3 linked regions of the Kluyveromyces lactis genome follow. The protein of the gene in region 3 purifies or fractionates together with the protein of the main gene of each other region. This does not show direct contact. Links are inferred from orthologs where the notes say so. Each region holds a gene or a part of one and is shown on either strand. Other genes may lie near its edges. The genes, in order: VID24, VID28 and GID7.

Region 1 (10,487 bases), on a different chromosome or scaffold from region 3:
CTACACTGGTGATTACAAATTTTATACTGATAAATTTCAATATGATTCGGCATTGTTAAAGCAAGAGTGCCACAGCAGCTCCCAATTTTGGTTTGGGAAACGATCCGTTGAACCTATTGTGCCAACAAAGAAGAATCTAGTGACGTTTTGTAAGTACTGTGATTTTCATGATGTCTGCGGATGGAGAGCTAATGGCAACAAGATGTTCAAACAACTAGGTCCTACCTTAGAAGAGATAAGTAAACTCTAGGTGCTACCGGCCACCACTTGATATCCATGCTATCTATATATGTTTTTAATATTTATTATTTATTTGTTAGCTTAATTACAATGTCCTTTCAATAGAGGCTGCTTTGACCGTTCACTCAACCAATGGGTATCTCTGCTCCTCTTGAAACGTTCTCTACGCTGCCCTTGCCCTAATGGGAAGTCCGACAGGAAAAGCCGTTAGTTAAAGAAGATCTGTGCCAAGTAATTCAACGGCAGCGAAGCAGCCATCGATGAATCGAACCTTTGTCCCTAGAACTCACTGTTGGATCCATTAAATACATACCAATCGATTTGAATAAAGAACCATTAGACATGGGAGGCCAGGACCCGGCAGGCTTCGGGATATCCGTGCTCCGATCATGATAGGTTCCAAAGCTAGGAGGCACCATACCGTTGTACATACTTGAAGCTTCTCTACAGAAGTCAGTGTCGAATTTGTCGTCCAGTTCCTTCTTCAACTGAGCACCTATTGCTGCTGACTCTTACCAATCATATAGTATTCCAAACGGGGTAGAACTTCCAAGAAAATGGTTCAATTGGTTTGCCGATGGGGCTATGTTCCTTATCGTTTCGGATTGACTGCAAAAGTCAGGCAGGCGAAGGTTAAAAGACTGTCGACGCGACGTAGTTACGGATGGCAAAAATACTACTTTTACGAAAAGGCGACGTTATTATCGCACATTGAAGTCTAGAGCTTTGATACTTCTTGAGTTGAAGTTCTGAGATTTACGTAATCCATTTGAATAAGTCAATATAGTAGAGGTGCATTAAATCACTCTGGTATATGCTGTATATCAGCCGGAGTAATTCTCCAGTTGGAGGCACCCTCTACATTACAAGCTTTATCAAGCCTAATGTTGATTTTCGCTACTACTTAGATTGCCATGGTTTTTTTTGAACGTCAATGCAAATTAGTAATGCTCTTTTCAGGCATTGTACTAAACCTTCTCAGCAAGACCCACAAGTTGGCAACTGATATTGATTAAGTGGGTGATATTTCTTATATGAATAATGTTTTTTATATGTGTGTTAATGGTACGCTCCAACGTATATAAATGCGGCATTTTACATATTTCATCTCCATTCCCCTAAATTTCATCTCATCTTAATTAAAAGCTTCCTATTTCTTTCAATTAAAGGTTTAAACAGTAAGGAATATCAATAGTTAGTGTTCAGTGTAGCATTGCAGTCAATTGATTATCCACCAAAGTTTTTAGTACATCGAATAATAGAAAAGCATGCCATCTCCAAGCGACTACCGTTCTCAATTGCTTAATAACGTAGCCCTAGGATATGGTTTGATGAGTTTCACCTGGAGAGCAGAACCTATTGCCCCAGAAGCTGCGTCCAAAACCTTCAAGAAAGTTCTTGAATTTACTGGTGATAAAAAGGCGTTGTTCAATGTTGGTGAATTCTACGGTGAACCTTTGAGCAACTACAAGTTGTTGCAATCCTACTTTGACAAGTATCCGGAAGATCGTGAAAAGGTAATTATCAGTGCTAAAGGTGCTGTTGACTTGCAAACCTTGAGCCCAGCCGGTGATGCTAAGAGTGTTAGCGCATCTATCGAAAACACTCTTAAAGTGTTCAATGGGTATGTGGACATCTATGAGCCAGCAAGATTGGACCTTGAACTTATAAAGAAGACTGGTGAATCGGTTTTCCCTCGTGAAACATTTGACACCATCGTTGAATACGTCAAGAAGGGTAAAATTGGTGGTATTTCATTGAGTGAAGTAACCGCTGAACAAATCAGAGCCATTCACAAGGAGTATGGTGAATATTTAGTCTGTGTTGAAGTCGAATTGTCCATGTTTTCTGCTGAAATTCTCTCGAACGGTATTGTCGACACTTGTAACGAACTAGGGTTGCCAATTGTTGCCTACTCTCCATTGGGTAGAGGTTTGCTAACTGGTGCTTTGGCCAAGAGCTCTGATATCCCAGCAGGTGATTTCAGAATTCAATTGAAGAGATTCCAAGATGACGCGTTCGCTCACAACAAGTCTTTAGTCGAATTTTTAGAGAACGAAATTATCGCTAAAAGATCTGATAACGTCACTTTACCACAAGTAGCAATCGGATGGATCCGGGCTATCAGTAAGAACTATCCAAATACTAAAATTATTCCTATTCCCTCAGGAACAACTGTGGACAAGGTAACCTCTAATTATAGTTTCATAGAATTATCTGACGAGGAACTAGCAAAGATTGACAAATTTTTACAATCTTTCAAAACTGTCGGTGGAAGATACGAGATGATTCGTTAGATATTATGTTAATGATTCCATGATTTTACGAACTTGTCAATATGTCACGTACCAGTGTAGCTGAATATATCCAAACAAATATAAAAAAAATGTTATCATATTCTAAGAAAGCAGGTATGCCAATGATATCGCCATGACATAGGATCAGCAACCAACTATAGAGCGTTCTATTTTATTTCAGTTTCTGTCATATGTTTCTGTCATTTCCACTGACACTGAAATAATACTAGTAGAAAAGAATGGAAAAATTATTAAAATAGGTAAAAAAATTCAAAGTTAACAATACTTCTTTCACATTTACTTTAATCATTTGAAGTATTGAAGTCTGGTAAAATTGGTATCAATTTGGTCTTATGGCCCAAGATAACAACTGATGTTCATCTCTGACTATCATACTGGCTTCTGGTGAGTTATCTATACACTATCTCCTTGAAGTTACGATAATGAACATAGATCAAAAGTATAAAATTACCACATAAGTCTCAATGGATCATTATTCCGTTTTGTCATTATGGTAATGGTCTATCAGAGTTGGTAAACAGAGCATTTTTCTCATTGTGTTTTAGTATATAGCCAGAGGAAGTGTACGTTATGAGATGGGATGCTACTACGAAGGCAGTCTTGCTCAGTTTTTCAAGGCTGAGAAGCTCGAAGTTAGACTGTTCATGTGATCAGTAAAAAGATCATAAAAAAGGACCCAGCTCAGCAGCGAGACTTCTATGAACGATACTTTTTCTCTAGGTTCTACCGAACCATCGTCTTTCTTTATTTGAGTGATTTCACGTAAACGGGAACTTGTCGTGCCTGATGTGCATTTTTCTTTATGTCCATCACTGGCGGTGCAGTAATGTGTTCGACTGGATTGTTTAAGTACTTCCGACTGAGGGCGTTACATGCATTAGACATTTTCTTTGAAAACGTTTACGATTTTTCAATGTGAATTCACTTTCACACAAGACGAAGAACAAACTTGCACGAATTTGGTGACAGAAATTTACAACTGCCACCAAATTTTAAGATCTTAACTTCAAAAGAGCGGAGTTTGTGAATACAGTGTCCATTATTCACAAGTCTAAAGGCATAAGATCATATTTCCTCATAAAATCAATTATAAATATTGCAGCTTGTTATAGACATACATAGTTTTTTGCAGCCAGAGTTGCGCCGAGTGAAATGTACTTAATCTTCTTCTTCTGGGACCAAAGCATCGGACTCTTCCAACAGTTTAGCTAATTCACCCGTTTGAGCCATGTTCATCACAATGTCACATCCACCGACAAATTCCTTGTTAACGTATAGTTGTGGGATGGTTGGCCATTCGGAGATTTCCTTGATACCTTCACGTAACTCAGGGTCTTCAAGTACATTGTAAGCAGCAAACTTCACTGGATCGACACCTTGTTGACCTAACATATTGATTGTAGCTCTAGAGAATCCACATTGTGGGAATTCTGGAGTGCCCTTCATGAATAAAACCACCGGTGCTGATTCAATAGCATCTTCAATAGCTTTCTTTGTCTCTTGTGATATGAATCTTTGGAAACTTAGATGTGATCTGAAAGCAGGACGTAGGAGCGGACTCTTAGTGGCCAAAAATCTTGAGAACATTGTTGGTATTGGAAAACCTGAGCGAAGCGATTTTAACTGTGAGGCTAGTTTACTGGGCTTGAAAAAATATCAATCAAACGTTGGAAGGAGTATCGCAGTTCAGTATTTCAGTATTTCTTTATATGTTGGTTAGAAGTGAAATATCGAATTATAAAGTTTCCGAAATGTTTAAGCCGAGTGACTAAGAGGATAGAGGGCAAAAAACTGAAAGACGAGTTGAGAAGACAGTACAAAACTATGAATTCAGTGAATGGAGTGGGTAACCTTGAATTACTTTGGCATCAAAGAAGAATCGTTAGATATTCAGAATGTTTGGAGGCCAAGTTTAAGGTGAATAAAGACTGTGATGAGTAAGCAGCACGTGACATGGTTCTTTGCAATGGTTCACAAATCCCGATATGAACTGAAAGTAAAACATTTGTGCAAGAAACCAGCTCGTATGGCGCAGTGGTAGCGCAGCAGATTGCAAATCTGTTGGTCCTTAGTTCGATCCTGAGTGCGAGCTGTTATTTTTTTGCCCCTTCTTCATCCTCATCGAGGGCCTCTTTTTTTTTTTTCATGACGTTCGGTTTCTAGGAGAAACAAATCGAGCAGTAAATTGTAACGATGTATATCCCATTATTTATATGACATTAGAGACGTGATTAGGTAGAAATGAAAAGTGAAAGCGTAAATTGGTATTAGAATATTAACTGAATTAATGTAATGTGGTGTAGAAGTAAACTTGAACTGAAATTTGAAGTAAATGAGTGGAGCAAGGAACTTGGTAAATTAGAAGAGACAGAAAAAAAGAATGAAAATAAAACACCCCATGAAAGATGTGGTTTTATTTATTTTAATGTCATTTAATTATGCAAATTCGAATGAACAATCTCCGATTGATGGTTCTTGTAAAGGTTGCAATTCTAACTGTTGAAATCTTTCAGCATGTTCATGGTAGTAGAACCCCAGAATGTTACCAAGTAATTGATCGTGTACTATGTAGTAGTAGCCGTCGTAAGATGCACCATCTATTGATTCCAAATCGGCATCAGGCACCAGGAATTTCTCATTCCACCTCATGTAAAGGAACCTTTGATTCAAGTAATCGGTATGTGAGTAAGTACCATCGATGATAGATTGTAGAATATTCTTAGAAGGATACTTTGGATCGTTTTGCATGCAAAGTTCTTTGAAAGATGGGAAATTCAACCAATGCTCCAAATCAGTCTGGTCCGAGGCCTTATAGGACGCATAATCTATTGGGATATCTTTGGATAGAAACCCTAGAGAATCCGTTACGGTGATGGATTCGAAGAAAGTGGTGATCTCGGGATTTTGTACCGTGAGACCCTTTATAGAGAGGAATCCAGTCAAATGAGGCGAGCAACAGTTGGATTCGTTATCATTTGGTAAAGAAACAGATTGGATAGTGATCATGACTTGGAACTTCTTGTATCCCGAGAGTTGGTACCCAACAAACCGTTTTCTAGCCCCTAGCCAATGAGTTCTTTCGTGGTTCTTGGGAGTCTGAGGTCTCGATCTAGGAGGCGAGTTCAAAGATGGTGAGCATGAGTCCTGGATATCGTAATCCTCCGAATCTTGAAAGTTTTCATGCGAACGCCGTATCGAATTGATAGAATCGTGAGACCCAGTTCTGTGCAGCGAAGTGTTCCTGAAATATGGGTTTCTATGGAAAAAAGGAGTCAAAGGCGCAGGGAATGCTATAGGTGATTGCTGTTTTTGCTGTTGCTGTTGCTGTTGCTGTTGTTCCTGGGTCTGACCCTGACCCTTATATGGAGACGAGCTACTCGCCTTGGCGAGTTGCGTCTCCAACCCAGAGCTATGCGAACGTGTATCTTCGTTGATCATCTGTAAAATGTATGAATGTATCTTGCCTTACAACTTGTAAGTTGTAACTAGTTTTCTAAAGCAAGTAACTAACTCACTTGACAAAGGCAATCTGCGATGAAGCAGCGAACAGATTAATACGTCCAACAATAACCACTCGGTATATATACATATATATAGTAATAATAATAATAATAACTATCTCAATCAAGAAGGTAATATAAAAAGCATCACCAGGCCACCTTTAAAAAGCGAAGACCAGATCGACATCGATAAAGAAATAAGAAAAAGAGATAAAAGGAAAAGAAATAAAACACGGCAAAGAAACCGACAATGAAACACGCGGAAGAGGAAGATTTCCAGTTCCAACCATGACTCTATCCTATCAACTGGACTGGGAAAAACCAATGAACAAGGCAGAGACAGAAGTAAAATGGCTGCATAGGTGAAAGGAGTGACACATAATGGAAAAAAGTAAAAAGAGAGTAAATGTGTTCAGGAGTGAATTATGATCGAGGTGCGAGTCTGGTGTTGAAGGAAAAGAAACGGGGGGAAATATCGAAGAGACTGTGCACCGGTTTCTGGGCAAAATACCCGGAAAAACCTTTCGTTTTGGATTTTCTTTTTTTCCGGCACCAAGTTGGAACAGAGAGGTACCCAACGAAATGGCGGAGGAAGAATCAAAGAAGGACCAAAGTTCACAAAAAGAAATACGAGAGAATGTTGCTACAGGGGAAAGGAACATTCACAGACATAGCCCGATCCGGTTTGTTCCGAGGTGCGGGTAACAACTTAGCGCAGCTAACTCTTTCTTTCTCTACGCTCGGTGTATGCTGTCAAAAAAGTGTGGCTCTTCTAGTCACGTGATTACTGTTATAACGCGCCCGCTTATGTTACCCGGATATATGTATATTTGCTATATTTGTATTTTCGCCACCGTTCAACGTTATTCCGGGTAACACAATGGGTATCTCTCTCATCGTCAAAAGATTTTCTCGTCACTTCTTCCACATTCAGACTGGAATTTAAAATAAAATCTGTATACCATCTTTTCACATACGTATCTATTAAATGATGCACTACTACTTGTTGCACGTATTATCGGAACTACTCTTTTTCAACTTTATATACTTACTGATTTATGTATGCCTTTTCTAATAATTAGTTAGTTAGTTGTCCTTTGTCCACTGGAATCTGCCGTCGATAAGCAATTCATAGTTAGAAGAGAAGTGCTCTTTCTTACCAAGCCAATCCCAGCTGTAACTCTCTAACCACCACCATGAATGCTCAAATCAGTAACCTAGTCATCATGTTGATCATGATGCAAGTATCTCGTCGTTTGGATATGGAGGATCCTTCGATCGTGTTGTACATCCGTATCGCTTATGTCGCTTCTGTTGCCATCACTTGGTCCATCTACCAATACGCTAGAGCTCAAATCGTTAAGAAGAACGATTTGGCCACTTTGAAATACGTGGCTCCAGCTAACCCATTGGGTGGTCAAACCGAGAAAAAATTGGAAGTCACTACCGTTCGTGATTACGATTTACAACAGATTGATTCTGCCATTAAATCCATCTACACTGGTTTGGCTATGATGGGTTTCATGCATTTGTACATGAAATACACCAACCCATTGTTCATGCAAACCATCTCACCAATCAAGTCCGCTTTGGAACATAACGAAGTTCAAATTCATTTGTTCGGAAAACCAGCTTCTGGTGATTTGAAGAGACCTTTCAAGACTCCATCTTTGTTCGGTGGTGCCGGTGGTGCCAGTGAACCAAAGACTGACAAGAAATCTATCGAAACTGCTGAAAAGGCTGGTAACGGTGGTGTCAAAGCTGAATAATCGGGACGCGCATCGTTGCGTTTTCCAATCATGTGTTTTCTTCATCCATCTCTCACCATTCTCTTATAAATAAACACGTATATATGTATATAAATGTACATGCGTGTATGTATACAACTATTAAGATACCTCAATAGGATGTTTTATCGTAGCTTTTGTTCAGTTTCTTTCGTGTTTAAGTGTTAAATTGTACACATAGACTTCGCACTTTATTTGAAAGAAACGTGAATATTATTCTATAAAGATCAGACCCAACCCTTAACTGTTACTGATCGAGCCGACCAGATCAATATCCTCCAAGCAAAATGGATGTCAGTGATGTAAAAATATTGATCCTTGGTGCCGGTGGTCTTGGATGTGAGATTGTCAAGACATTGGCGCTGTACGGTTTGCCAGAATTACATATTGTCGATATGGATACCATCGAATTGACCAATTTGAACCGTCAATTTCTATTCAGTACCCGTGATATTGGCAAACCAAAAGCGTCTGTAGCTGCAGAAGCTATCAATAGATTGCAAATACCTTGCAAGAATGGAGTTACAGGTTTTGTGCATGTGGTGCCTCACAATCAAGATTTGACTCAGTTCAACGATGACTTCATCTCACAATTCGATATAATCGTATCCGGACTCGATTCTATCGAGGCAAGACGTTGGATCAACTTCAAATTACACGATGTAACTGTCAAATCCAACTTCAAGACCGTAATACCTTTCATAGACGGTGCCACGGAGGGACTTATGGGTAACTGTAAGCTCATAGTGCCTGGGTTCACCTCATGTTACGAATGTTCTCTTTCCACGCTGCCGCAAAATACAGAAACTTATCCGCTCTGTACACTTGCATCCAACCCAAGAACCCTAGCACACTGCATTCAATACGCTTCCATCATTCTCTGGCCTCGAGAATTTCCTAACAGACCTCATGACTTGGAGTCTCCCGATGATCTACAGTGGTTGTACGAAAAATCATTACATAGAGCGGAGGAATTCAACATACACCATTCAACTCTAACAACAAGATACGTTCTGGGCGTACTAAAATCTATTATACCCAGCGTTACTACTACAAACTCAATCATTGCTGGTCAATGTTGCAAACAAGCTATCGACTTACTCACTGATAAAATCGATATTGAGACATGTCCAACTTTCACGATGTATAATGGAGAAGCTGGTGCAACCATGTTCTCTTACAGGCATGAAAGGGATGCTAGTTGTACCGTGTGCAGCGTGTTCGCATAGCACATGACATATAATGGTTGATTCTATATACAGTTCGCTTCACACCCTCGCCAAGCATTATATACTGTTTTTAATGATATTCCCGGCTCATAGGCAATATTCCTCTTATTATCTTGAATGAAATTCTTTAATAAGCGAAACGATGATTCAACTTCACAAGTACATACAATGAATATCGTAAAGACATACAAGAGAGGAATAGTGAGCCAAACAACATGTGGCCAGTACGACTATTACCATATTCTAGGACTCCTTTGACGCTTGCACCCCGGATACTGAACCAGGTCCCCGTTAGAGCTGCCTTGGGAGTACGCTGGCAATCATCATCACCATCATCGATATTGGATACTCCGATCAGACCAGCAAAGATTATTAATGAAGTACCGGATCTGCATTTTAGCATCACCAACAGAGCTTCCAAGAGACTGGCTGAGATATACAAGGCTTCAAAAGAGATTCTTAGGGTGACGGTTGAATCTGGTGGATGTCACGGATTTCAGTACAATTTGAAGCTGGTACCGGAATCTGACAAGAAAATCGGTAACCAGGAACAAGAAACCGATGACCTGAATGACGAAGATGATTTTGAGACTGTTAAGGATATCGTTTATGTATTACCTGATTCCATCGGCGAAGTTGTTATTGATGAGCAGTCCCTAAAGATTTTGAACGATACCACTCTCACATATAGTACCGAATTAATCGGTTCCACTTTCAAGATTACTGGAGGAAGTATGACCAGTAGTTGTGGATGCGGTAGCAGTTTCGGTTTAGACCAGGAAACATGATGTTCTTGCTTTTTTCAACATCCTATTTATTATAATGCAGTGCATGACCCCACTCCCCCCATATTGATGGGCTAATGACTTATATTCAAATGACATTTTACATATATGGTAATGTGTATAGTTAAACTATGAGGTTCTTACATCCTAACAAATATTCTAATAGAACACCATTGGCATTTGATGAGTCTGGTTGCTCGATATATGTCGATCGCAGTGTCACTCTCTGCTGGACAATATGTACTGTTTTTATTGGGAACTCTTTCGAGATCCCTAACCTATCGCTTAATAATTTAGGTAAAAGATGCAAACCAGCGGGGAAATCGCTGACGTTCACTTGGATTTGAAATTGATTCAATAACTTGGTGTCCCTAGTCATATAATCGATTTTCACAACGTCCATATTGGATGTAATTTCTGTTAAAAACTGGTATACAGTCTCATTGTCAAGCTGTAAGGGCACCAGGTACACCTGGTGTTTGCTTAATGTCTTTGTAATCCGATTATCCTGTTGACTATTAGTACAACATACTGTATCACTCAAAAATACACGTAATTCGTCCTCAGAATTATCTATAAGCCAAATTCCTTCTTCACCATCTATATCAGCCACATCAACATTGCAGAA
Region 2 (11,774 bases), on a different chromosome or scaffold from region 3:
GAAGAAGTTGTGTGGTTAAAAGTACATCCAACGGTATCGGGTGTTTTTGCATTCGGTGGTGTTGACGGATCGGTATGGTGCTATCAGTTGAACAACGTGGATGGGTCGTTGTCTCAGATCATGTCCGGTTTCTCTCATCAACAGGACTGTACCATGGGTGAGTTCATTAATGTAGAAGAAGGTGAGAACAATTTGACTTTGGTCACTTGTTCTTTGGACAGCTCAATTGTCGCTTGGAACTGTTACATGGGTCAGCCTTTGTTCAAGATTACTCAAGCCGATATTAAAGGTTTAGAAGCTCCTTGGGTCTCATTGTCTGCAGCTCCAGCTTCCCTAACGAATAACACTGCAGTCATTGCTGCAGGGTCAAATAATGGGCTGTTGGCCATTATCAACTGTAGCAACGGATCTGTACTACATTTGACCACAGTAATAGAATTAAAACCAGAACAAGATGAACTTGATGCATCGATAGAATCCATCACTTGGTCTAGCAAGCTGCCTCTAATGGCAATCGGTTTGGTTTGTGGCGACGCACTATTATACGATACAAAAACTTGGAGAGTGAGGCATAAGTTCCAACTTGAGGACTCTGCCACCAAATTACAATTCGACACTATCAACGGTCACAATTTAATTGCTTCTTGCATCAATGGTAAAGTATACATATTCGACGCCAGAACAGGCCAAGAAGTACACGTTTGTGTTGGACACAACATGGGTGTGCTTGATTTTGTCGTCATTGAGAACGGGTCCAAGCTAATCACTGCCGGTGATGAGGGTGTATCATTAATTTTCGACCTGCCACAATGAAATGTGGGTAGGATTATACTAGGAAGGGATCTTTCATCATAAACTTTTCCGATATATATTTTATTTACATCAATGTCGTATATATTCTCATCCCAATCATTTGTTTAAGGCATTTCTAACCTTTTCTTCGACAATCTTACCAATCAGTTGACTCAAAGAAGATTTCGAATCGGCAATTTGCGCTTGTAGATGCACTTCAATCTGCTTTTCGATAACTTTACCTGTAACATCAACTTCGACATTAACCAGATCGCCCACCTGTTTCAACGGCATGATAACGTGTTCTTGAGTGTGCTTTATCATTGCGATGTAAAAAGTCCCATCGTCGTCAATTGTAGTAACAGTTAGGGAAGTACCATCCAACGAGATGAACCCTTTCTCAACGATAAACTTCTCATAAGATTGTTCCCCCAGTTTGAATCCAAACACTATGGAGTTACCATCAACGGTGCGTGATTTGATAGTGGCTACTGTATCGACATGGCCTTGAACGTAATGCCCACCAAAACGGACATCCTGAGACACAGCTCTTTCGAGGTTAACCTTGGTTCCAGTCTTCCAACTGCTGATATCGGTTCTACTAACAGTTTCTGGTGAAATACCAACTTTGAACGAATTAGAATCGAATTCAGTCACTGTTAAACATATACCATTGCATGCAATGGAATCTCCGATATGACAATCACTCAAAACTGGGGCCGCATCTTTAATGGTCACCGAAACACCATTACCACCACTAAGAGTTTCGTCCAACTCTTTGTACTCAGCAACAGTACCAATATGTTCTACAATACCAGTAAACATTCTTGCGGTTATACTCGGCTATGTTTTGGTAAGTCTCTTCCTTGCCAACATAGGTTTCCTCGAGATGTACTTTCTACTCAGACATGAGATTTCTCATTTAGTCATACAGCCTGAAAATGTGAAAGAAATGAGGTGAAGAGAAGGCAGAGCATGGAGGGAACAGGAAGGCAATGAGAGGACCAGGAGTGATGCCTTCAGAGGTGTTCAAGGGCACCCAGATAAAATGGTATAATGAAGCGTTTGTATTGTATTTTTAAAAGTGTTTTTCTACTGAACTACATATTGATTTTAAACGTCCATTGAGTGTCAGTGATTCATTCTTTATATAGTCAAATGCCGTTACCATGAAGCTAAACTGTGGGAATAAAGGTTCAGATAAGCAGAGTTTGATCCGTGATATTCATGCAAGAAGCTCTTAAGCCTTAACGTAGGCAAACGGTCGTTTGTGCTATTGCGTCAGTTTTTTTCACCATTATCCAGCACTGACCGGAGAAGGTCATAGGAGAGAATGGAAGAGTACTAACAATGCGCAAAGCAGATAGGATGGTCTTAAACTAGAAGAACCAGAGTTTTCAAGCATAATTAGATTGTCATGTATATTGATTAAGACTTCTCTTTTATTTCCTTTTTTCTTTGCCGGACATGTCTTAGAGGGTGATTTTTGACATTTCTTAGGTAAAGGCTTATCAAATACAGAGTCTGTACTTGAGTTGGTACTGCCAGACAGACTCCAGGGGGTAGAATTTGATTTTCTAGTTTGAGGCAGAGAGCCTGTTGCACTTACTGTTTGTATTCTTGACCCGCTCGTGGTTTTTACCTGGGCAATAGAGATCTCCAAGTTATCAAGGTCATATACTACATATGCGCTTTTCAAAACAAGATCCCCCAGGATCCACTCTTCGCCACTCGCAATTATTGCCAACCCACAATAATTCTGACCGGATTCAGGTAGATATAAGAGGTCATGTATTGGCACTTTCAGTTTCAATTCACCGAAATCGAAATAAAATGTGCGATCATCATTGGATGCTGGGCAATCTAACACATACAACCCGTCGCTTTCCGAGAATGCAGCGCCCAGTTCTTGGGCAATACTTTCTAGTGCCTCTTGAGGAGCTCCCATGATTGTACTACCAGAATCAAGTAGTGCTGGGGCCTTTTTATGCGCGATGACAGTATCTTTACAATTCGATTCACTTCTTATTCCAAGTCCTTGTAAAGTGATATCAAAAGCAGCGGGTTCATCAATCTGTTCATATATATTGACTAATGGCAAAGTATACAGCACACCATCGTATTTTTTCTCATCGATACCTCCGAAGAGCACTGTTCCACTTTCTAGGTCTCCACTATCGAAATACAACGAGTACAACACCCTATTGATCAATCTATTACTTTTCAGTGTCTGCGGAAAGTTATCGTAATTCGCATTGGGGGCTCCATCGTATCCACGAACTGCTTCCAGTCTAGGAAGTCCCACACCTAGTACACCTGATGGAGCACTTGATATATTAGCAACTGCAAATTGCAGATCTGGGACCTGCTGGTCGGCAATTGAAATATCATCGACGACCCAAAACCCATCTGAATAGCTGCCGTCAAAGTACTGAGTGGAGAAATTATACCCAGTTGCACTCAGACTGTAGGACGAACCTGGGTCGAAAACGCCAATCTTATCGCAATCCAGTATTGGTGTTATTTCTGTGCCATGGAATTCATTAGTACCATTTGTATCTAGCTTGTTTCCTAGACAGAATGGATTACTCTTAGCCGGTACCCATAAATCTGACGATCCAGTATCGAATATACAATTTATTTTCTGCGATGGTGTACCTACACCAAGTTCAACGGTATAAAAGTAGTCCTGTGGATTTAGTTTACTTTCAAAACTTTTAGATCTTTTCTGTAGACTTCTATCAGCTGGTTTAAGTAGTTGCAGCTGAATGACTTTTGAATCATGATCGAACTCTATTTGACGACAGTTTATTAAAGATGTCAGTAAACATAGAATTGTGAGAGAAGGTAAAATCATGGTGTATTTCGTTGATACCTACCAACTATGTAATATGAATTGGGAATAAGAAGATGACGATATCATTCAACTATCTGAGCCAATTAGTACTTTTATATATGTTTTACTTTATTAATGGCCGTCTTGAAGATGTCACTGTGTAATTGCCTATTTGAGAAATTAAGTCGTCATAACCAAACTGAAGATCTTTACGGTTAAACTTAAGTGTGAATATCTATCAAGTACTGCTCATAGTTCCAAGAACTATTTTGCGAATAACCTTCCACGGTTAGTTTCAATTTCTGTCATACAAATTACCTGATTTGGTTACCACAATAAGTATTACAACATACAACAGAAATGAAGAACGACTTGAGAACCCTGTACCTATCATCATCGTGGCATATGAGATGCTGCCTATTAAGAATGCAGGAACTGCAGGAACTGAAACTAGCTGTTAAGTATGTCCTCTATCCTCTTGTAGTGTTTTGTCGTTTGTGGAATGAACTCGGGTGACCTGGTCTATTGAGAGGTCTAGCCATTAGTACAATATATTGCTCGCTCCAATTCCCCTCAGTAAATTCCCGTAAATGTTTAGATTGAATTGAATCATTCATTAAGATTAGTATACACGGTTACTTAAACCACCGACACTATACGGGTTGCTTTGTTCGTTGTTTTTTGAGATCATTATTCTCTTGCTCTGGCTGTGTCTCAGTATTTGGCAAAACTCCACCAATCAATCTATTGTTTGCTATCAATCATTACAGCTTATCCAACTTCTTCAATTCTAATTGGATCTTTTTAATAGCAGCCTTTCTTTGCAAACGCACCTGTTCCTTCTTTTCACCTTCCAAGTTACCGAGATGAACACCATCTAAATCCAATAGAAGGTGTAAAAGCATTTCATTGTAGAAATTACGTTGGTACTGCATGGTTTCAGACGTAGAATCGTAATTTTCCAACAACTTATGCAAGCCTTCTTCGTATTCGTTGGTAAATTTATCGAGAACGTATTTGATGGTTTCTTCTTCAGACATGTTCTTCAACTTCTCCTTCTCAATCTCTTTTTGGCTCTTCTTAGCAGCATGTTTTCCCTTCTTAGACTTTCTAGACTTCTTCCCACGAGGTTTTTTGGTCGTACCACTAGAGATCCATAGCACTAATGCTGTCACTATCATTATACCGGACACTCTAACTGTCATTGATTGGTAGGCATCTTCCAGAGAATGTATTCTTCTCAAATCAACCAAGCACGCATGTGCGTATTCTTGTAATTTATCCATGGCCACTGGGAAACTATCTACCAATTGATGAGATACCACAGAGTCCTGTCTGACTTCGCAGCTTTGTCTTGTCAAGTTGCTTGATCTCGTGAAACTTTTCATCATATGTTGATAATATCAACAATATATATCTCTGCGTGAAACAGTGCTAGTTAGAAATCTCGAATGCAATAACACTGAGGTGTATCACCAGAAGGTTAAGGATACCAAATAGACATGTGAAACTGCTTACTGATAGTCATGGAACTTCAAACTGGACGTAGTGTACCCATTCCAGTATTTATGCATGTTCGTTTATCGTATCACGTGCAATAAACGTGACCGTAAGCAAATAACCTCCTATCTCTCCTCATAGTCGTAGCAAAATACGTAAATACACATATCAATCGCTTACCTAGTACCATCCGTCTATCCTAACACCCCCGACTAGTGAGATCGCACCATAAGTTGTATCCTTTCTGCCTTTATTTGTAGTTTTGCCCAAGAACGCTATTCCATCATATATCTACATTCACGGTTAAGGGATTTGACATAGTTCGAACCTGTGAAAGAGTGAATAAGGGTGTCTTCAAAAGACAACCGCGCGGTGGCCAGAGTGCAAAATAAGACAACAATGGTTACTCAGCAACGTCAGAGAGTCACGAAGCAGGTGCTTTTGGAGCTTCGCAAGGGCCTCATCGGTGACCAAAGTGCCAAATTCAACTTCTACAAAGATCACAGGGACTTGTTTGATGCTATCATAGACTACAAACACTATCTTTCCTTAAAATTGGATGTCTTATTGATTCTATCTCACTTAGACAAGGGCAGCTGCAGGGAGCTTGGAAAATATGGAACGGAGATCTTTGTTAGGGTATTAGAGATGCAGATTCCAAATGACTCCATGATTGAGGATATTGCTAAGTATGTCAAGCTAAGGAGAATCTGTGTAGAGAACTGCACGGAGGCGGAAACAAATGAGCAGTTCTTCTTCCAAGAATTCTATTATGTGGAACCTTTGAGTTTCTTTAAGCTTGCAGCTGAGCGTCTCATACGGACCGATGAATCTATATACAGAGAAATCGTATTGGAATATATGACATACTTATCCACATTGCCATTTGTAATGACAAGTCAGGACCTAGTGCTGATTTTGAGGGATGTGTTTAATTTCTATGTGGATAAATATGTGCCCAAAGTCAATTTCAAATACGCTATGGTTACTTCAGCCAAGGAGTCATATGACATGGACTATGATGTGTTCTACGATCCTAACAACACCGGTGCGCAGCTCATGAATAAGAGCAGGGGCTCAGCGGGAAGTGAACAAAAGATTCAACCATTTGAATCCCTACCGCAATGCTTGCATATTAGCGACCTTTTTGACGTTCAATTGATTTTTGTGATATCAAACTTGTTAACAGTATTGCAATCGAATGGTGGAAACCAGTTCTCTTTCTTGGCGGATATGAAGGTCAATGTGTTCTATGCTTCATTATTAAGACACCCTGATATAAGATTGAAAACGTCGGCTTTATCATTCTTCTATTGTCAACTTGGAGATTCTTGGTACTCGGAAAATAGAAGTGATTTCGGCTCAAATACGGATAGCAACTTGCCCTTCCCGATAAAACTATGGTTACCTACTCTCATATCGACTTTGAATGAACCTGAGCTACCAATATTTTTCTCCCCTTTAGAAATCCTTTGTTCTCTAGCAACAGAGTTCACTGTCGCACATAAACCGGAAAATGTTGTGATTGACACATTTTTCGATTCGAATCTATTGAATGGTATGATAGACACTTTTTTAAGACTATTGAGCCTGGAGAAACAAGACACCAACAAACTTCAACTGCTTTCTGATTATCTAAAGTTCTTTTCTGAAATTATAGGTAAGGATGAAAGGTGTAGGCTATTGTTTTTGGAGAACATCGCGGTTTTACAATATATGGAGAACGCATTCAGTTCACACTTGCTAATCTTGAACAATTTCCGTGAGGATTGGACACAATTGAGGAACATGGCACCCTTACCACCGCTTTTTGATTCTGAATTAGTTACTAATTGGGCAAAGTGCTTGAAGGCTTGCTCCAGAAGTGTGGGAGTTTTAAGGACATCGTTGAAGAGAAATAAGCTAGCAGATTATACTCTAAAATTAGCAAGAGAGATTTATGAAATCGTTTCAATGACGTATGATGGTGGAATTCCGCACCTCTTATGCCAAGAGCTAATATTACTAGGCGAATTGTTAGGAGCAATGTCAAACTTTGTTGTCGAATTTTCTTCTTTAAGAACGCTCATGAAAAAGAACGGAATCATTGCATTGATTAAACACATTTTTACCAACCCTATATTCAACTCTGAGTATTTAGATCGTGCCCTGATGCCAGAATTTGCAAAGGGGAATCCGATTATAGTATTCCATAACGAGGCAAGCGTCTATTCCGAAATTACGGTCATCCAGACGAACTCCCTTTGGGTCTTGAGGCATTTGATATACAATTCAGAGACATGCGACAAACTAGAATTGTTATCTCAGATTGACTTAGAATCAATCCTACAATTTGTGCATTCCGCTGAGCCCAGCGTACTAAATCAATGTTTCCAATTGTTGAGAAATTTGACATGTAATTCGAGGAAGGTGATCAACATGATATTAGATTCCTTCAAACATACAGATATGCTCGCGAACACAAATAACGGCAGTGGAGAAGTCAGTGGAAGAGATGAATCATGTACTCAGGGAAACCAGTTCCTAAGGTTTTTAGCTTTGAAATTGAAAACTGTATTGCATGATGACAGTTATTACAGTGACAATAAGATCGCTGAAGCACTACTCTATATAGTGGTCAATTTCACCGCTATAAATGAAAACAAGAGAAACCTGGTTATTTCCCAGGATGAACTACTAGATATCGTGAAAGAATATATCTTAATGGCCAAGGGAGATGAAATTACTAAAGCGTGTCTTTGGATAATCACGAATCTAATATGGGACTCCTCCATCCAGCACGTCCCTTACAATAATTCTCTACCAGAAAACGGAAACCCGCACTTCGACACGGACTGGGCCCTTCAAGAAGGTAGCAGCTCAGCTCTCGAAGACAGAAACGATGATCCTCTCGTTAGAATGCCATTAAATGCACGAGCATCAAACATGTCTTCAGAAGAAGAAGAAGTCCCAGAACAAGAAGAGCGAGAAGGTGATTTCGACGAAGAGGAGCAAAGTAATGACGAAGAAGAGGACTCAACTGATCCTCATAAAGATTTCATCCGCCCAGCAACTACCACTGGAAACATTTCGGCTTTAAGTCCAGCAATCATAAGGTTCAAAAAGCTCGATAAGCTAGGTTTCAATGACGCAGTAAAGAAAATCTTGGATTGGAACGGCGATTTAGACGTAAAGGAACGTGCTAAGACCCTACTATACCAAATGGAAACGTTCAGGAAGACCACTATTCCACCACATGCATGAGCCACTTCCGCCTGTTCAGGTGATTTGATGAAGCAAAATCACGTGACAATATCCCACAATTGTGGCTCTATGATTCAAATGACGAAAAAGAAATCGAACTAAGCGAAACTCTCGAAGCTTAGTGAGCGTGCACCTGAGAGAGCTTCACAGGACCGGGGCAAGTCTTCTATAGGAAAAAGCTTTTTCCAGCGATGTAACATTCAGTATTTACGTTAGAACTATATAAAGGTAGAAAGTGTTTTTGTGTGTTACTGCATCGATAAGTTTTTAATGGTAGGATAGTTTGTTCTAGCTAAAGGCAGCATCAATCACATTGACAACGCAAACGCAATGTCTTTATCATATGTGACCAATCCATTTGGTCTTCCAACTGAGAGCACTCAGTTGCCAACTTTCACAACACCAGTGAATGCAATTAACTCTGTGTTGTTCAGAAATCTGAAGAGTATTTTCAGTTACAAAACATTCTCAGACCCTGATTTATTGGATGCTTCTATCAAAAAGTTAGCTGAAAGAGAGAACGGTTTGTTCTTTAAGGAATTGGACGTAAGATCAGGTGCAGGCTTGACTACTTTGGGTTTTGCTAAGGGTTCTTCCGACCTTGCTGGTATTATCACTCCAGGTTATGCTTTGCCTTATTTCGTCAGCAGTTTCAAACAAGAAATCGACACCCAGTCGAAATTCGTCTTTAGCGTTGGTTCGTTGGATTATGATGAGGCTTCTGGTTCTATAATCAACGATTATTTGACTCCTTTGAAAGCTGCAAAGGATTTGGGGTTCCCTGTCATTACACCATTGCAAATCTCCGAAGTTAAAGCTACCACGTTATTGACCTTGGCATTGGCTAAATACGGTTCAGGTTTGGGTGCAGTTCAGTTATTTGATGGTGCCCAATATGCGAGAACTGTCACTAGAGTGGAAGATAAGATGCAAGATAGATTTATTGAATCGTTGAATTTAGCTGACGATTCTACTTTTGATCAGATCTTGGATGCTTTCAATGAGAACTCCCCGGAGAGACTGCACAACTTCCAATATTACGGTAATGAGTCTGCTGAAACTATTTTCATTACTTATGGTTCTTTGGAGACCGAACTTTTTGCTTCTCTATTGAATCAAAGTGGCTCTAAGGTCGGCGTACTTGCTGTTAGAATCCCATTGCCATTTGACACTGAGAAATTTGTTTCTTTGATTCCTACTACTGTTAAGAAAATTGTCGTAATTGGCCAATCTCTAACTGGCCAGTCTCCATCCTGGTTGAGATCTCAGGTTTCAGGTGCGTTATTCTTCCACAACAAGAGAACTTTAACCATTGCCGAGTACATCTATCAGCCAAACTTTGTTTGGTCCCCAAAGGCTGTTAAGCAAATTGTTACTAGTTTCATCCCAAGTTTCGAATTGGAGATATCAAGTAATTCCCAAAACTTCATTTACTGGACCACTGACAACAGTAATAATTTGGATTTGGCTGCTAGATTAGTACAAGGTCTATCATTGATCGATAATGTTGATATTTCCTTGAGAACGAAATTTGACAACATTGGGAATGCAGGTACCTTCCAAGCACAGTTCACTTCGCATCCATCAAAGTCGAAAAGTGTTGTTTCTAATATCGACTCTGCCGATGTGATTGTTGTCGAAGACATTTCCATTTTAAATGCTTATGACGTAGCTTCCACTGTGAAGCAAGAAGGTTCCATCATTGTATTGGTGAAGAGCTCTTTGGTTGATAAGGATTTAAAGGATAAGAAGTTCTACACTGATGAATTGAAAATTAACGAAGCATTTTTAACCACTGTTGCTGAAAAGAAGATCAATGTTACATTGATCGACGTTGAAACAATTGGTGACAGAGAGGAAACTAAAGGTCGTACTTTGTCCTTCGTCACTCAAGCTGTCTTCTGGAGTGCTGCAACTAACGATGACAAACAGAGCATCATTCGTCGTATCTGGAACTCAGCAGGTCCTGATATCGAATTACTTGCTGCTGTGTTGTCTGATACCATTAGTACTGCCCTTGAAACTGGCGTGAAGGCCATTCCAAATGAAGTTTACGCTACATTCATTGAAGATAAAGCTAAGGGTGAAGAAGTAAAAGAAGAAGAAATCCATCAGTTACCAACTTTTGTCACTGAAACCTCATTCTCTGCAAACCAGAGATTTACCGAAGAAGTACCAGAGACTGAAATTGCTAAGATCGCTGAAATTTCAAAGAAGTTGACTTTCCAAGAAGCTTACGGAGTGTCACAACAATTGAGGCCTGATTTGCCCGTTAACAATTATGTCGTTAAAGTTAAGGAGAACAGACGTGTCACTCCAGATGACTATGATAGATACATTTTCCATATTGAGTTTGACATTTCTGGGACAGGAATGACTTACGATATTGGTGAAGCATTGGGTGTTCATGCAAAAAACAACTTGGAGAATGTGCAAAAATTCTTGCAGTACTATGGTTTGAATGAAAGTGACATTGTTCAGGTACCAAATAAGGATGACCATCACTACTTAGAGTCAAGAACCGTTTTGCAAGCCTTCGTCGAAAATCTTGATATTTTCGGTAAACCACCAAAGCGCTTCTACGAGAGTTTGATCGATTTTTGTACTGACGACAAAGAGAAGAGTAAGCTAGAAAACTTAGTTTCTGCTGCCGGTGCTACTGAATTAAAACGCTTACAAGATGTCGAGTACTATACTTATGCCGATATCTTCGAGTTATTCCCATCAGCCAGACCATCGGTTGAAGATCTTGTGAAAATAATTGCCCCATTGAAGAGAAGAGAATACTCTATCGCATCTTCTCAAAGAATCCACCCTAACGAAGTCCATTTATTGATTGTCGTTGTGGACTGGATTGATAATAAGGGAAGAAAGAGATATGGTCAAGCTTCAAAATTCATTTCTGATTTAGCTATCGGTTCTGAACTTGTTGTATCTGTGAAACCAAGTGTTATGAAGTTGCCACCATCTCCAAAGCAACCAGTTATTATGAGTGGTTTAGGTACTGGTTTAGCACCTTTCAAGGCTATCGTAGAAGAAAAATTGTGGCAAAGACAACAAGGTTATGAAATCGGTGAAGTCTATTTGTATTTGGGTTCTAGACACAAGAGAGAAGAATATTTATACGGTGAATTATGGGAAGCTTATAAGGATGCTGGAATTATCACTCACATCGGTGCCGCTTTCTCCAGAGATCAACCTGAAAAGATTTACATCCAAGATCGTATCAAAGAAAACTTGCCAGAGTTGAAGACTGCAATGATTGACAATGAAGGTTCCTTCTACTTATGTGGTCCAACGTGGCCTGTTCCTGATATCACTCAAGCTCTACAAGATATTATTGCTGCAGATGCGAAGGAGAAGGGCATCAACGTTGACTTGGATGCTGCCATTGAAGACTTAA
Region 3 (11,783 bases):
CACACAATATAAATTCTCCTCTAATCTTCTTACATGATGCCAATTGTCCAAATCCAACTTGATTCTTGTTCCTATATCGCACATTGACAAAAGTAACTGTAGAGTGTAGTAGGAATCATTCCCCGCGTTATGAAGGTAGGAGTGTGGTATTCTGCATAAATTCAGTAGCCTCTTGAGTGATGATTGTCTTCCGTACATATTCTCGAATAATTTTTGGGTATCCAAGGTTTGAACATTATTCGGTAATCTTATGTCCAACGATTCTAGCCAGCTAATATCCCCTGATATACCATGCCCAACCAATGCTCTTTTCCAAGAGTGTTCCGCTCTGTTGTGTGGAATCAAGTATTTATCAATGAGGTTTTGGACAAGTTCTACGACCTCATCTAAGGGTAATATCTGAGAATCATCAAATATGAAATTGTCCTTAGCATCGTCAACAAACCTTCCATTCCTAAGGTCATATGCCTCTTCGACACAGAAGTGAAAGCTTCGTGTTAACGGTAAAACAGAATGGTCAAAATTTTCTCGAGGATCGTAAATTGTAATACCGATTTCTGTTACGATATTTGTATCTCGTTCGTAAGCCTCTAAATCCACACAAAATAGGATAGTCTTCTTTAAGTTGATGCATTCAATTGCATTCTTCCACTTTTTCCATTCTGATCTACCAGGATAACATTGCAATTTTGGCTTGGCCGCATCCCGAATCCGATCACAGAGTAAAGCATCAGAAGGGGTTACATCTGAATGGAAAGGACATGTATTGAAGACCTCTTCCTCAAAACGTTGAACTAAAGCTACATGGGACTTCTTCTGTGCGATGTATGTTTTCTTGAGAATGCTTCCGAGGTCTTTAAGGTACAATGCCACCAATTTCTCAGCTAGTTGGTTTCTGACGTACCCATTATACTGGATCTCTTCTGAATTGTCTCCGAATTTTCTTGGCGGAGAGGTCCTTTCCCAATCTTTCAATATTTCTTCTGGAGTCTTGACGCCTAGTGCCTCATAATAAGAATCCAAATCAATGTCTGACATGACCTGCACACACTTAAAACACCTATATTCTCTCCGTGGTTCTTTCGTTCGACGAATATAGATCTTTGGATTAACACAACGAAATAGTAAGTAAATAATACCGCTTAATTCCTCGATGTGAATCTGATACTGCTCAATTTATCAATGTATTCTTTGTGTGATTTATCGTCTTGAGCTGAGCAGAATTGTCGCGCACCTTAAAATCTTAATTGCCTAAAGAAACACCTGTTGTGATTAAATTCCCATGTTTTTTTCATTTGACTTCAAAATTTCAACTTAGTACAGCAGCAATCATCTAAACAGTACCTAGTATGTCAAATAGTGTTCTCTCTTACAACAACGAGCCTCAATTGCCTCCGCTGATGCTCACATCTCAGTAACGTTTTCCTTTGGTTGTATGAGTGAAGTAAACTCTAACATATTATCAGGGTAGAAAATCGATAAACCCTTACACCGCACCACGCACTTTTTTCTTTCTTGAAGCTAACTTTGCTCACTGATGCTCTTCGCTTCTCGTTTTTTTTTTTCAGTTTTGAAAAATCATTGACAAAAGATATGCGATGAGATATGAACAAATTATATAACCAGTAACCTCTTGGAAGACTAATACTATATTTCCACCACTATATTGTGAACAAGCCAAGGCAAGTATAATTCTGTGTAAGCGGTGTACTATTTTTTTTTGACAGAACCAAAGGCATTGATAAAAAGCTTTTACATTAAGTTATTTCCTGCACTCATTTTTTTTGGAGTTGTCTTAGTAAGTGTTAGTTCTAAGTTTTGATCCGACACGTAAAGAAAGCAAATATAACTGCATTGAAATTTGGCTTAAGAGTGTTTTAGTCATCATCAGATTGTTGTTTGAAAGAGAATATAGAAGGAACGAGAGAAAACGTTAGAGAAACAATATGTCCGAAACTGTTACAACTACCACTGTTCCTGTTACTGATACTCCGCATGAAACTGAAGCTGTTTCAGTTGAGGTTGCTACTGCCAGTAGTAACGACACTACTGTTGCCACTGCTAATGATGATGTAGAATCTTCCAGTGTTGATTCTGAAGGAGAAAAGCCGAAGTTAGTGTTGGCACCTTTGCCAAAAAAGTCTCCTTGGGAAGAGACCGGTGTCACTGAATATAAGCCTTTAGATTTGTCAAAGGTTGTTGCGGCTAAAAATAAGAAAGTCTCCAGTTCTAGCAAGTCTCGTAGTAAAGGTACTCCGTCTTTGACCGGTAAGGAAAGATGGGTTCCATTAGATGTGGATATCACTGTTAAAGACAAAATTCCTGATGTCAGTAATGCTAATGGCGGTAAGGGTAAAAAACTGAAAAATAAGACCAAGAAGGATAAGCCAAAGGTTGCCAAAAAGACCAAGGGTAAAGACTCTACCGCGAAGCCCAAAAAGGACTCTGAAGGCGAAAAGAAAGCAACAAAGAAGCAGGATCGCCAGACAAACAAGACATCGAGCTCGAATGGCACCAACGAAAAGATTTCTGTCAATGGAACTACTCCTGCTTCTGCCTCGGGTTCTTCTGATATCACTAAAAACGGATATACTGAAGAGTCTAACCAAGCGGACAAGAGACCAGAAACGGCATCCAGTTCAAACTCTGAAGCTTCTTCCGAAAACGGTATATCTGCTCCACCATCTGCTGAAACTGATGGTAAGAAAGTTGAAAGCCAGCAACGCCGCTTTACTCCTAACTCTAAGCCATTTTACCCAAGAAACGCAAATCACCACAACAACCATGGTCATGGGTACCACCACCAGCATAACAAAAATAACCATAATAATGAGAATCATTACCATGGTTCAAAGTATCAACGTCAACGTTCGTACGCTCCTGTAATGTACCAACAGAATTATACCCCATCGTACGTCTTGGTTAATGAGATTGTCCGTCAAATCCAATATTATTTCAGCATACAGAACTTGAGCAAAGATATGTTCTTAAAATCGCAAATGAATGCTCAAGGTTACGTTCCATTGGCATTGATCTCAAGATTCCATCGTATGCTAAACTTATCTTACGGCGATGTCGGATTGATTCTAGCTGCATTACGAGAATTGAAAAACTCTGAAAACTCCAATGTCAACATTGCTAAATTGACTGAACCTTTCGAAAATGTCGTTGGGAATCCTTTGTTCCAGTATGCATTAAGTTCTAAAGTTTGGACTGCTGACGAATCCATTTCTGAACCAAAATCTTACGACACCGTTGAATTCGTCAGCGATGAATTAGAGCTATTTAAAATTGAACCAATCAACCCAATAATAGATTCATTACCATCCTTCAAACCAAACTCATCTACTGAAAAACACGAGCAAAACCAAGATCAAGATCAACAAGAATCTTCAGAAAATCAAGAAAATCAAAACCAAGAAGTCTCTGTACAATAGTGTTCCCTTGTCAAATATACTCTTTTTATTTTCTACCCGTTCACTGCATATTATATTTAACAATCAAGCTCTCATCCACATAATAACATATATATATACACACACAGTTAATCAAACAACTTCCACTTTTTTTTTTAATATTTGCTTTGCGTAAAAATAGTCGTTATGTGAAATGCTTTCTTTCTCTTCACTTAAAAAAAACCTTTAATTTCGAGGACGTTTCAAGGGAAACAGTTTAGTTTAGACAGTCGAGCATTACCACACCAAAACACTAACCACAGCGCGCTCGAAAACAAACACCACACTTGCGTCGTGATGAGTTATGAGGCAGTTCCTGCCGAGAATTCGGCTTTTATACCTGATCAAGCCAAACGTAATATCAAGGGATGGTATTTCTATTGCTTCTCAAGTGAACCCTTCATAGTCAGCGCTGTTTCCACGTATGTCCCATTATTGTTAGAACAGTTTGGTAGGATTAACGGTGTTAAATTGGATGATCATAGTCTCAGATGCGAAGTGAATGATGATAAGTGCGTACTACCTATGTTTAATGGAAGATGGTTCATTGATACATCTAGCTTTGCATTATATACCTTTTCCCTAAGTGTTCTATTTCAGACGTTACTAGTAATCAGCGTCAGTGGTATTGTCGACAAATGTCAGAGCATAGCATTTAAGAAGAGAGTCCTATTATTTTTTGGAACAGTTGGGGCTTTAGCGACATGGTTTATTGGTACACTTAGATCAGACCAGTACTACGTATTACCTTTGCTTGCAATAGTCGGAAATTGTAGCTACGGAGTCATTAATGTTGTAGGAAACTCATTGTTACCAGTGTTTGTGGGATTTTTGGTTGGAAATGAAGATCAGCTGGAAGTTGATATCAAAACTTCTATTATAAGCGGTCGTGGTGCTTCTTATGGATATTTCAGTGCGCTTATCGTACAATTATTTTCAATATTGTTGGTAAAACAAAGCAAAAACCACGACAATCTTCAAATAGCGATTCTATTTGTAGGCTTATGGTGGTTACTGTGGCAAATACCGATAGCATTTTTGTTACAGGATATCCCCCGTGACACAGATCAAGAACAGCATGAGTTTACATGGGCCAACACCGGAAATTATATGGAATACGGCTGGAACTCATTGTGGGAGTCATTGAAGCACGCAAGATTGTTGAAAGACGTGGTAATCTTTCTCATTGGGTGGTTTATTATATCTGATTCTTTGACGACAATTAACTCTACTGCCATTTTGTTTGCCAAAACGGAGTTGAAGATGACAGCTATAAATCTAATTACTCTAAGTATCATAACGATGGTTATGGCAATGCTTGGTGCTGTCTACATACCCCATTTATTAAGCGAACGTTTGAGACTTCCCTTGCAGCAGGTTTTGATCATTATAATCATTTGGTCTAGTGTTATTCCATTGTATGGGATGACGGGATTTGTATTCCAAAACATTGGTTTGAAACACAAATTTGAGATGTATATCTTGGGAGTGTGGTATGGTGTGTCCTTGGGAGGCTTAGCTGCTGTGTCGCGTTCGTTATTCAGTTTGCTTGTACCACGTGGGAAAGAATCTACATTTTTCAGTCTTTTTAGTGTAACTGATAAAGGCTCCTCAATACTAGGACCACTGTTGATCGGCTTAATTACAGATAAAACTCATAATATTAGGTATGCATTTTACTTGTTATTCCTTTTTTTGGTGGTTTCACTACCAGTCTTCCACGGTTTGGACGTGGAAAGAGGAAAAAGAGAAGCTAGACAATTGTCTACTATGTAGCAGATACCCTCCATACTTTAACTAGACCATCATCACCGCCGGATGCAAACATTGTTTGATCTTGAGGATTCCATGCAACAATGTTACATATCTTTGATTGTGAACTTGTCGAATTTTCCGAATGGGCAGGTATTACACCAATGATATTACCATAGAACCTATCCCACAAATAAATCTTTCCATCCTCGGAACCACTTGCAATAAAATTTGAATAATAACCGAAACATGAACGTATTATGAAATTTGATTGGATTTGACCGATGTACCTTTGTATTAAAATATCTCTTTGATAGTCCCAAAGTTGTAGCTCTTGGTTTTGAATCGAGACTAGTAATAATGATGATAGTGATGGATCTGGAGAACATTGAGAAGTGTCTGGGAACTGCATTCCAGTCATTCTTTTACCGATCAATAATCGTCTCTTTCTGGGAGAAACGAACGTTGCATTCTCTTTAATGCAGTATTTCAACGTTGATATGTCAAACACATCAATGTACTTCTCATTATTCATCACAATCAAGTCATTATCATCAGATGAAATCTTGATATCATGAACATGAGGGAAGGACGACTTTAAATCTTCTCCCATAGTCATCGAAATTCTAGCGAAAATGGTAGCCGTTTTCATGTCATAAATTATTACATCAGAATCCGGAGAACCTAATACGATGAAGTCTTTCAATTCGGGATCATGGAACCAATCTCCACACCATAACCTCATAGTTTCAGCTGATGCTGGTGTATTATTAGATGAAATGGCAGATGAATCTGAAGTCGTGGGGAATGTAACAAATACGGATGCTACAGGTTTAAGCTGATCATATTCGCATAAATAGCCATCATATGTAGGGGGGGATAGCTGGTTTAGGTCATATATTTTTGCAGCGGAGTTGATTGAACATGCGATCAATTTCGTGTTGTCAGGGGAAAATTTAAGATATAAAACAGACTGACGAGTTTCACAACATATAGCATATATTTCGAAGTTATTTTTTACATCATAGATGATGATTTTCCTTTCGAATTTCTTTGAGGGGCTTGCACTGGCCAAAAATCTCCCATCTGACGAGAATTGTAAGAACCAGATTTCGTCATTGTTGCGATTCAATGTTTTGATGTTATCAAATTGAAACTGAGTTGATTTTGTAACATTATCCTGTAACAAATTATAGGTACTTGAAGCACTTCTTTTAGTACCAGTTGATGAATCCTCAATATGAAAGCTTAACAAATCTCTTGAACGTTGGTATTGAATTGCTTGTTTCAATAGTTGCATTAATCTACCACGAGGAACTAAATCATTAGGATTAATAAAGTGAGCGATGTGTTCAAATGTGGCCTCTCTGGTAACGAAAGGTGCAGCATTGGAGTTTTGACCACATACAATCAAGGTAGAAAGCTGCGATAATAAGTGTTCAGGTTGGAAAGAGGAAAAAGAGTTGGAATACATGACATCATTTCCTGTTTGCCACTGTATTTCTGAGTCATATTTCATTGTTTGCAGTGTTAGCAACGTATCCCAAATCGAGATCGTAGGTCTAATGACAAGCCTTAATAATTCCAAGGCCATTCGTCTATCTGACATCAAAATCTCAGAGAAAGCCAAAGTTTGAATTGCAACTAGCATTTCCACGCATATAGTTAACTTAACTATATCAACGTCCTTGAATTCGGACAGACGTTTCATCACGAAACCTAGTTTCTCATATTCAGCGAGAAAGTGGTCAATTATTGTGGTTGAAATGTTGCGTTTTGTTTGGGGTAATTCGACATGTGATAAGTCACCTGATAGTTCAAGGGACTCGAGAAATATGGGTAGCTGAAGCAATAGATCCAACGTACAGTGGTAAAACCTACCCTCTTTTATAGCAGAAAACAATGACTTCACATGAGTTGATTCGACCAATATCCCACCGCTCTCCTTTTGTAAGGTAATTGCAGTTTCTTCATATCCGATTTGTTTTAAAGCATCAATCAACAACTTTGTTAACTGCACTCGATCGAAAGGTTGATCTGATCCGTCAATGTCTAGATGTGACAAAGGCTTTTTGGTATATTTAGGAATGAACGAGTCATGGCTAGTAGGGACAGTGCTGACAGAAGCATTGCTCTGTGAAACGTCTGATCCTGCGGTTTGAACAGCCATAATTTTTAATTTCGACCAACCTATGAGTGATTTGTGATTAAAGAACCTGTTCTGTAAGCTTTGCTTGGTCAATGAGTTCTGTAAATGATTGTAGCAACTCTTTTATCTTCAACTATTCTTTCGTGAAGTAACCAGTGAGGGTTGGTTTAAATTTTATGAAATTGTCTTTTAAGGGATTTCTCGAAGAAGGGCAGTTGTAAATCAAAGGAAAAAAAAAGGTACGATACCAATAGATAAAGTAAGCTTACATAACAAAGTTATAAGAGAGTGAGTTGAATACATTAAACAGATTTCTGGCTACTGTAACTACATAAAAGTAAATGTGCGTTTGGTGCTCTGTAGCGAATGTATTGTTATTGTTTTTCATCCTTTAAAGTCATTCATAGACGTAACTGCATTATATGCGGAATTAAAACCAAATCAAAATGTTTAAAAAATGTCATTAAAATTAATAATTTGCATGCAAAGCACACAAAGCAGCGCCAACACCGGAACCATCCTTGGAGATACGTAGATGGACATCACGTTCACCCTCGGGGCCAATTGGAGAAAGTGCTAATGCATGTCTCATCATAGATCTGAATCCTGGATAGTGCTCAACGACACTACCGTCACAACCAACCTCTACTTGGCAGTGATAACTCTGGTTCAAAGCGTTGGTTTTGATCAAAATTGCAGCAATTGGCACTGCGGCTAAGAATGCAGCTCTCCTGGAAATAGCTCTTACCAATTTTTGGATCAAGACACGTTCTTCGAAGGTGGTCTCCAAGTCAGCAGCCTTTAAAAGAGCATCCCTTGTGTCCTGTAAGTCGTTCTCAACGGTATCAATTTCGATATGTGATAAAGTTTCTGTGGTTAAAATAAAGGGATTGTTCTTTAAAACAGATTCCTTCAAGTCGAATAACTCTTGTTTTTCAAGGTCTAGTAGTATGTTACGAAGTATTTCACCCAAATAAAGACCACTGACCCTTTTTTCAAACAAGTGGAACCCGGGATTGGTGGAGAACTGCTGATCAATCTTAATATCATAACTTGTAGTAGGCAAATGATTTAGTTCATTATCAAAAGAGCCCCATTCGGTATTGATGCACATATGGGTCTTCCCCTGAGACAGAAGTTCTTCTCTGCTAGCTGGATCCAATTTGTGAATATTTTCAAGCTTTTCCATGTAGCAGCCGTTCGTACCAGTACCAAAGATACAGCCAATTACTGGTTCGTTGATGGCTCTTGCCGCATCACTGGAAGCGTAACAACGAGCCAATAGGGTTCCAGTAGTGTCATTAGTCAATGCAACCACATGAACATTTGATAACCCAATATCGTTCAATTCTTGTTGGAACAGTTGAACAACGTCTTGCCCAACAGTATCACCGATCTTGAAACCCTTGGTCCATCTAATCAACTTACCACTGCTCAAGGAGGTTTGATCGACTGGATATGAAAAAGTGAAACCCATTTTCCATTTGTAATCTTGAATTACATCCTTATGATGTTTAGTCAAAAACTGATGCGTGATCAGGGCCATATGTTGGAACAAATCCTTACTGGTAACATGATGATCGTCCTGGAAGAAGAAAGTTGGAATCTTTGACTTCTCTTGTTCAATCTTGAATTCATGATTACCTAATAGTTCCACAGAGCAAACTCTGAAATTAGTACCACCTAAATCAGCTGCCAACATGGTTACTCCATGTTCCTGACCGGATGGCTTGTCAGTCACAAACGTCGGAATCATAGGCAACCCTTTGTTTTGACTGATATCTGATTCACAGGGTTCTAATCCCTTTTCCATACAATCGATGAAATACTCAGTCAACTGAGATATCTTCGATTTAGTAACAATGAACTGATCGCATATAGAATCAACCGCCTTGGTTAACTTAGGATCTGACATTATGCTCTAGTTGTTATTCTTTTAGCTTGTCTTGTCGTGTCTTGTCTACTCTTTAACAAGAATCCTTGATCTTTTCTACAAAGTAAAAAGTATGAATTATCCTTTCTCAACTACAGTCACTCTCTTATATTATAAAGTAGAAGAAACTGCGCACCATCTCCAGTTGAAACTGTTTTTTTCACGGTTTTTAGAATATTTGAAAATTGTCACCTGTTAGTCACGGTCGCCGTTACCGTTACTCTTGGCTACTCGAACAAACAACGTTATTGACGCATAAGAAAATGCGGGGTCACGTTTTGGTTGACCTTATGGGCCGAATGTGTGTATTGGCTCAGAAGATCATGGTATATACGAACCAGTGAGTGCTCTGGGCTAGACCAGTTTATACATGTATATACGAACCTGTACTCGTTGTTGTGGATAGATACGCACCAGTGTCCTTAAAAGCCGTTTCGCGGCTTGCCTACCGATTGGGCAATCACCGGGAATTCACGTGTATCAATGCTGAAAGGCAGGTTGTTAATTAGGTGGGGTGGGAATGTAGAGTCCTGAAACTGATAAAAAGAATTCAAAGTACTACTATTTCAGCTTTGAATACGTCAGTCGAAACAATGTAGAGATAATACTATGTAGCACATTTGCAATTGTACTTTTAAGTTTCCTTTCGCGTTGAATGGATGGGAAGAAGGTGAGAAAATTGTAAGGCTCCTGAAGGTAGAGATTGTCGTTTCTACTTAAAGACTATCTCGATCGTCTAGCATGCCCGATAGTCCATTGTCAGAGCGTTACGTTGATGTTTGGCTGCTATTTCCACCGGTATGAAATGAACCATTAGCGTTTTGTTTGTAGGTCACGTGAAATGCTTCTGAAAACTCCAAAATGGTTTCCGTTTTCCTATTGCATGTTTTCTTTCTTTGAAATCTTTAGCCAAAGGTTGAATGTAGAAAATACTCGTCTGATCTAATCTAGTCCAGTCTGGGGTGATCCTACAACAGTACCTTGGCACACCGGCTATCCGATTTGAAACTGTTATATTTGTCATTGCAATATAATTATGTTCAGAATAGCGAAAAATCTTGTCAGAACTCTTGAAGAGTCTGTTACTGGAACGGTTGGGGACAAACCTATTGATTCATATTTTCATTCAGTACCACCACAATTGTTCCCGATAAGGGAAGATGACCCTAGATATGCTCATCAAACGGATTCTCTATATGGTTTAAGAGTGGTACAAGTTGACGAGTCGCAATTGCAATTAACTTCGTTCTTTGATTATATCATTGGTTTCAATAACCAACCGATCCCCTTGGTACAGGATGGTACCATGGGTGCATCACAGACGTTCTACCCAGATTATAAAAGGATTATATCATTCTTCAATGAGCATTGTGGCAACACTATCAAGTTACATGTATGGTCTGGTAAAGGGGGTGTTTACAGAGAGGAGTATCTTTACGTCTCGGCGAAAAACTCTGTGAGCGAGATCCCGTTGGATGAAACAGATGCGCAACAATCCCTAATGACTTCTAAGATGTTTGAAGCGTTAGGTTTCAAAGTGCAATGGACCCCATTAATCGCTGTTACGTATAGTTACCATGTTTTACAACTAAACATTGAAAACGGACCCGCTATGCAAGCAGGATTGATTCCAGATCAGGATTACATTATCGCATGCCAAGATGGATTGCTAGCAACTGGCGGTGAGCATCTGTTACAAGACATTGTCAGATCAAGAGCGAACCATTCTTTAGTACTATACGTATACAACAAAGCCGTGGATTGCGTAAGACCTGTGACGGTACACCTTGCTGCTGACGGAAGGCTTGGATGCAACGTTGGCTACGGTTTCTTGCACAGAATCCCGGCACCTATCCAAAATTCACAATCAATTATCCACTCTCCAGCAGCCGTTGAATCTCACAATTCAAACAACATCATCCACCCAATTACACAACCAACTTTAATTCCTGCGACGTTGGCTAATAATGCGGATAATAAAGAAACGATGCCTTCAAACCCACTTCAGGTACCAGTTCCGGTTGGAAGAAGACAAGCACAGCTTCACCGCGGTTCGAACACTACCAATGCTGCGGCTGCTTCAGCATCAATGGCTGACTACTTCCAAGAGGGAAAAGATCAATCACCAAGATCCTCATCAAAGGCAACCCCTCCTCCTCCACCTCCAGCTTCTTCTACTGCTAGTAATACGGCTTCAGACTGAATCAATATACAGAAGAAAAAAAAGAGTAACAGAAGCAGTAAGATCCTTAAGGGCTCTGCTATATCGATATATTAAAGTATAAAGTATACTTCAATTGTATATACCATCAAGTATAACAACCGCTCTCATCTAGTAACTTCTATGGTGCAGCGATCGGTAAATGTGCATACGTAATGTCAAAAGATCAACGATAATCTATGAAATTCAGAGTACTCGTTACCCGCATGTACATATCCTTCCCATAATACCACTCTGTCATTTTGGTGCTTTTTTCGAGTTTTCGTACTGTTG

What was found.
Region 1: the proteins of GID7 (region 3) and VID24 purify together in Saccharomyces cerevisiae (affinity purification with mass spectrometry; 3 studies listed by BioGRID, with this or other methods). This does not show direct contact. The link is inferred for Kluyveromyces lactis from reciprocal best matches to the Saccharomyces cerevisiae genes GID7 and VID24.
Region 2: the proteins of GID7 (region 3) and VID28 purify together in Saccharomyces cerevisiae (affinity purification with mass spectrometry; 3 studies listed by BioGRID). This does not show direct contact. The link is inferred for Kluyveromyces lactis from reciprocal best matches to the Saccharomyces cerevisiae genes GID7 and VID28.

The regions. Positions count from the first base shown.
Region 1 is NC_006038.1:829,923-840,409, reverse strand, and holds VID24 (glucose-induced degradation complex subunit VID24), read right to left. Parts: upstream 5,997-10,487; coding exon 4,995-5,996; downstream 1-4,994. Other genes in the region: EXO5 (Exo5p), read left to right, coding at 1-250; KLLA0_B09658g (pyridoxine 4-dehydrogenase), read left to right, coding at 1,509-2,537; monothiol glutaredoxin GRX5, read right to left, coding at 3,717-4,145; SND3 (Snd3p), read left to right, coding at 7,255-7,827; NEDD8-activating protein UBA3, read left to right, coding at 8,133-9,074; ISA2 (Isa2p), read left to right, coding at 9,290-9,862; KLLA0_B09482g (uncharacterized protein), read right to left, coding at 9,984-10,487. UniProt on the Saccharomyces cerevisiae protein: Substrate-recognition component of the GID E3 ligase complex recruiting N termini and catalyzing ubiquitination of proteins targeted for degradation.
Region 2 is NC_006040.1:1,334,614-1,346,387, forward strand, and holds VID28 (glucose-induced degradation complex subunit VID28), read left to right. Parts: upstream 1-5,527; coding exon 5,528-8,371; downstream 8,372-11,774. Other genes in the region: SQT1 (Sqt1p), read left to right, coding at 1-813; RIB5 (riboflavin synthase), read right to left, coding at 910-1,617; aspartyl protease BAR1, read right to left, coding at 2,114-3,649; SNL1 (Snl1p), read right to left, coding at 4,393-5,019; MET10 (sulfite reductase subunit alpha), read left to right, coding at 8,702-11,774. UniProt on the Saccharomyces cerevisiae protein: Component of the GID E3 ligase complex recruiting N termini and catalyzing ubiquitination of proteins targeted for degradation.
Region 3 is NC_006039.1:85,572-97,354, reverse strand, and holds GID7 (glucose-induced degradation complex subunit GID7), read right to left. Parts: upstream 7,378-11,783; coding exon 5,224-7,377; downstream 1-5,223. Other genes in the region: KLLA0_C01232g (uncharacterized protein), read right to left, coding at 1-1,038; SRO9 (Sro9p), read left to right, coding at 1,947-3,437; ATG22 (Atg22p), read left to right, coding at 3,753-5,231; KLLA0_C01155g (uncharacterized protein), read right to left, coding at 7,826-9,271; GRH1 (Grh1p), read left to right, coding at 10,326-11,492.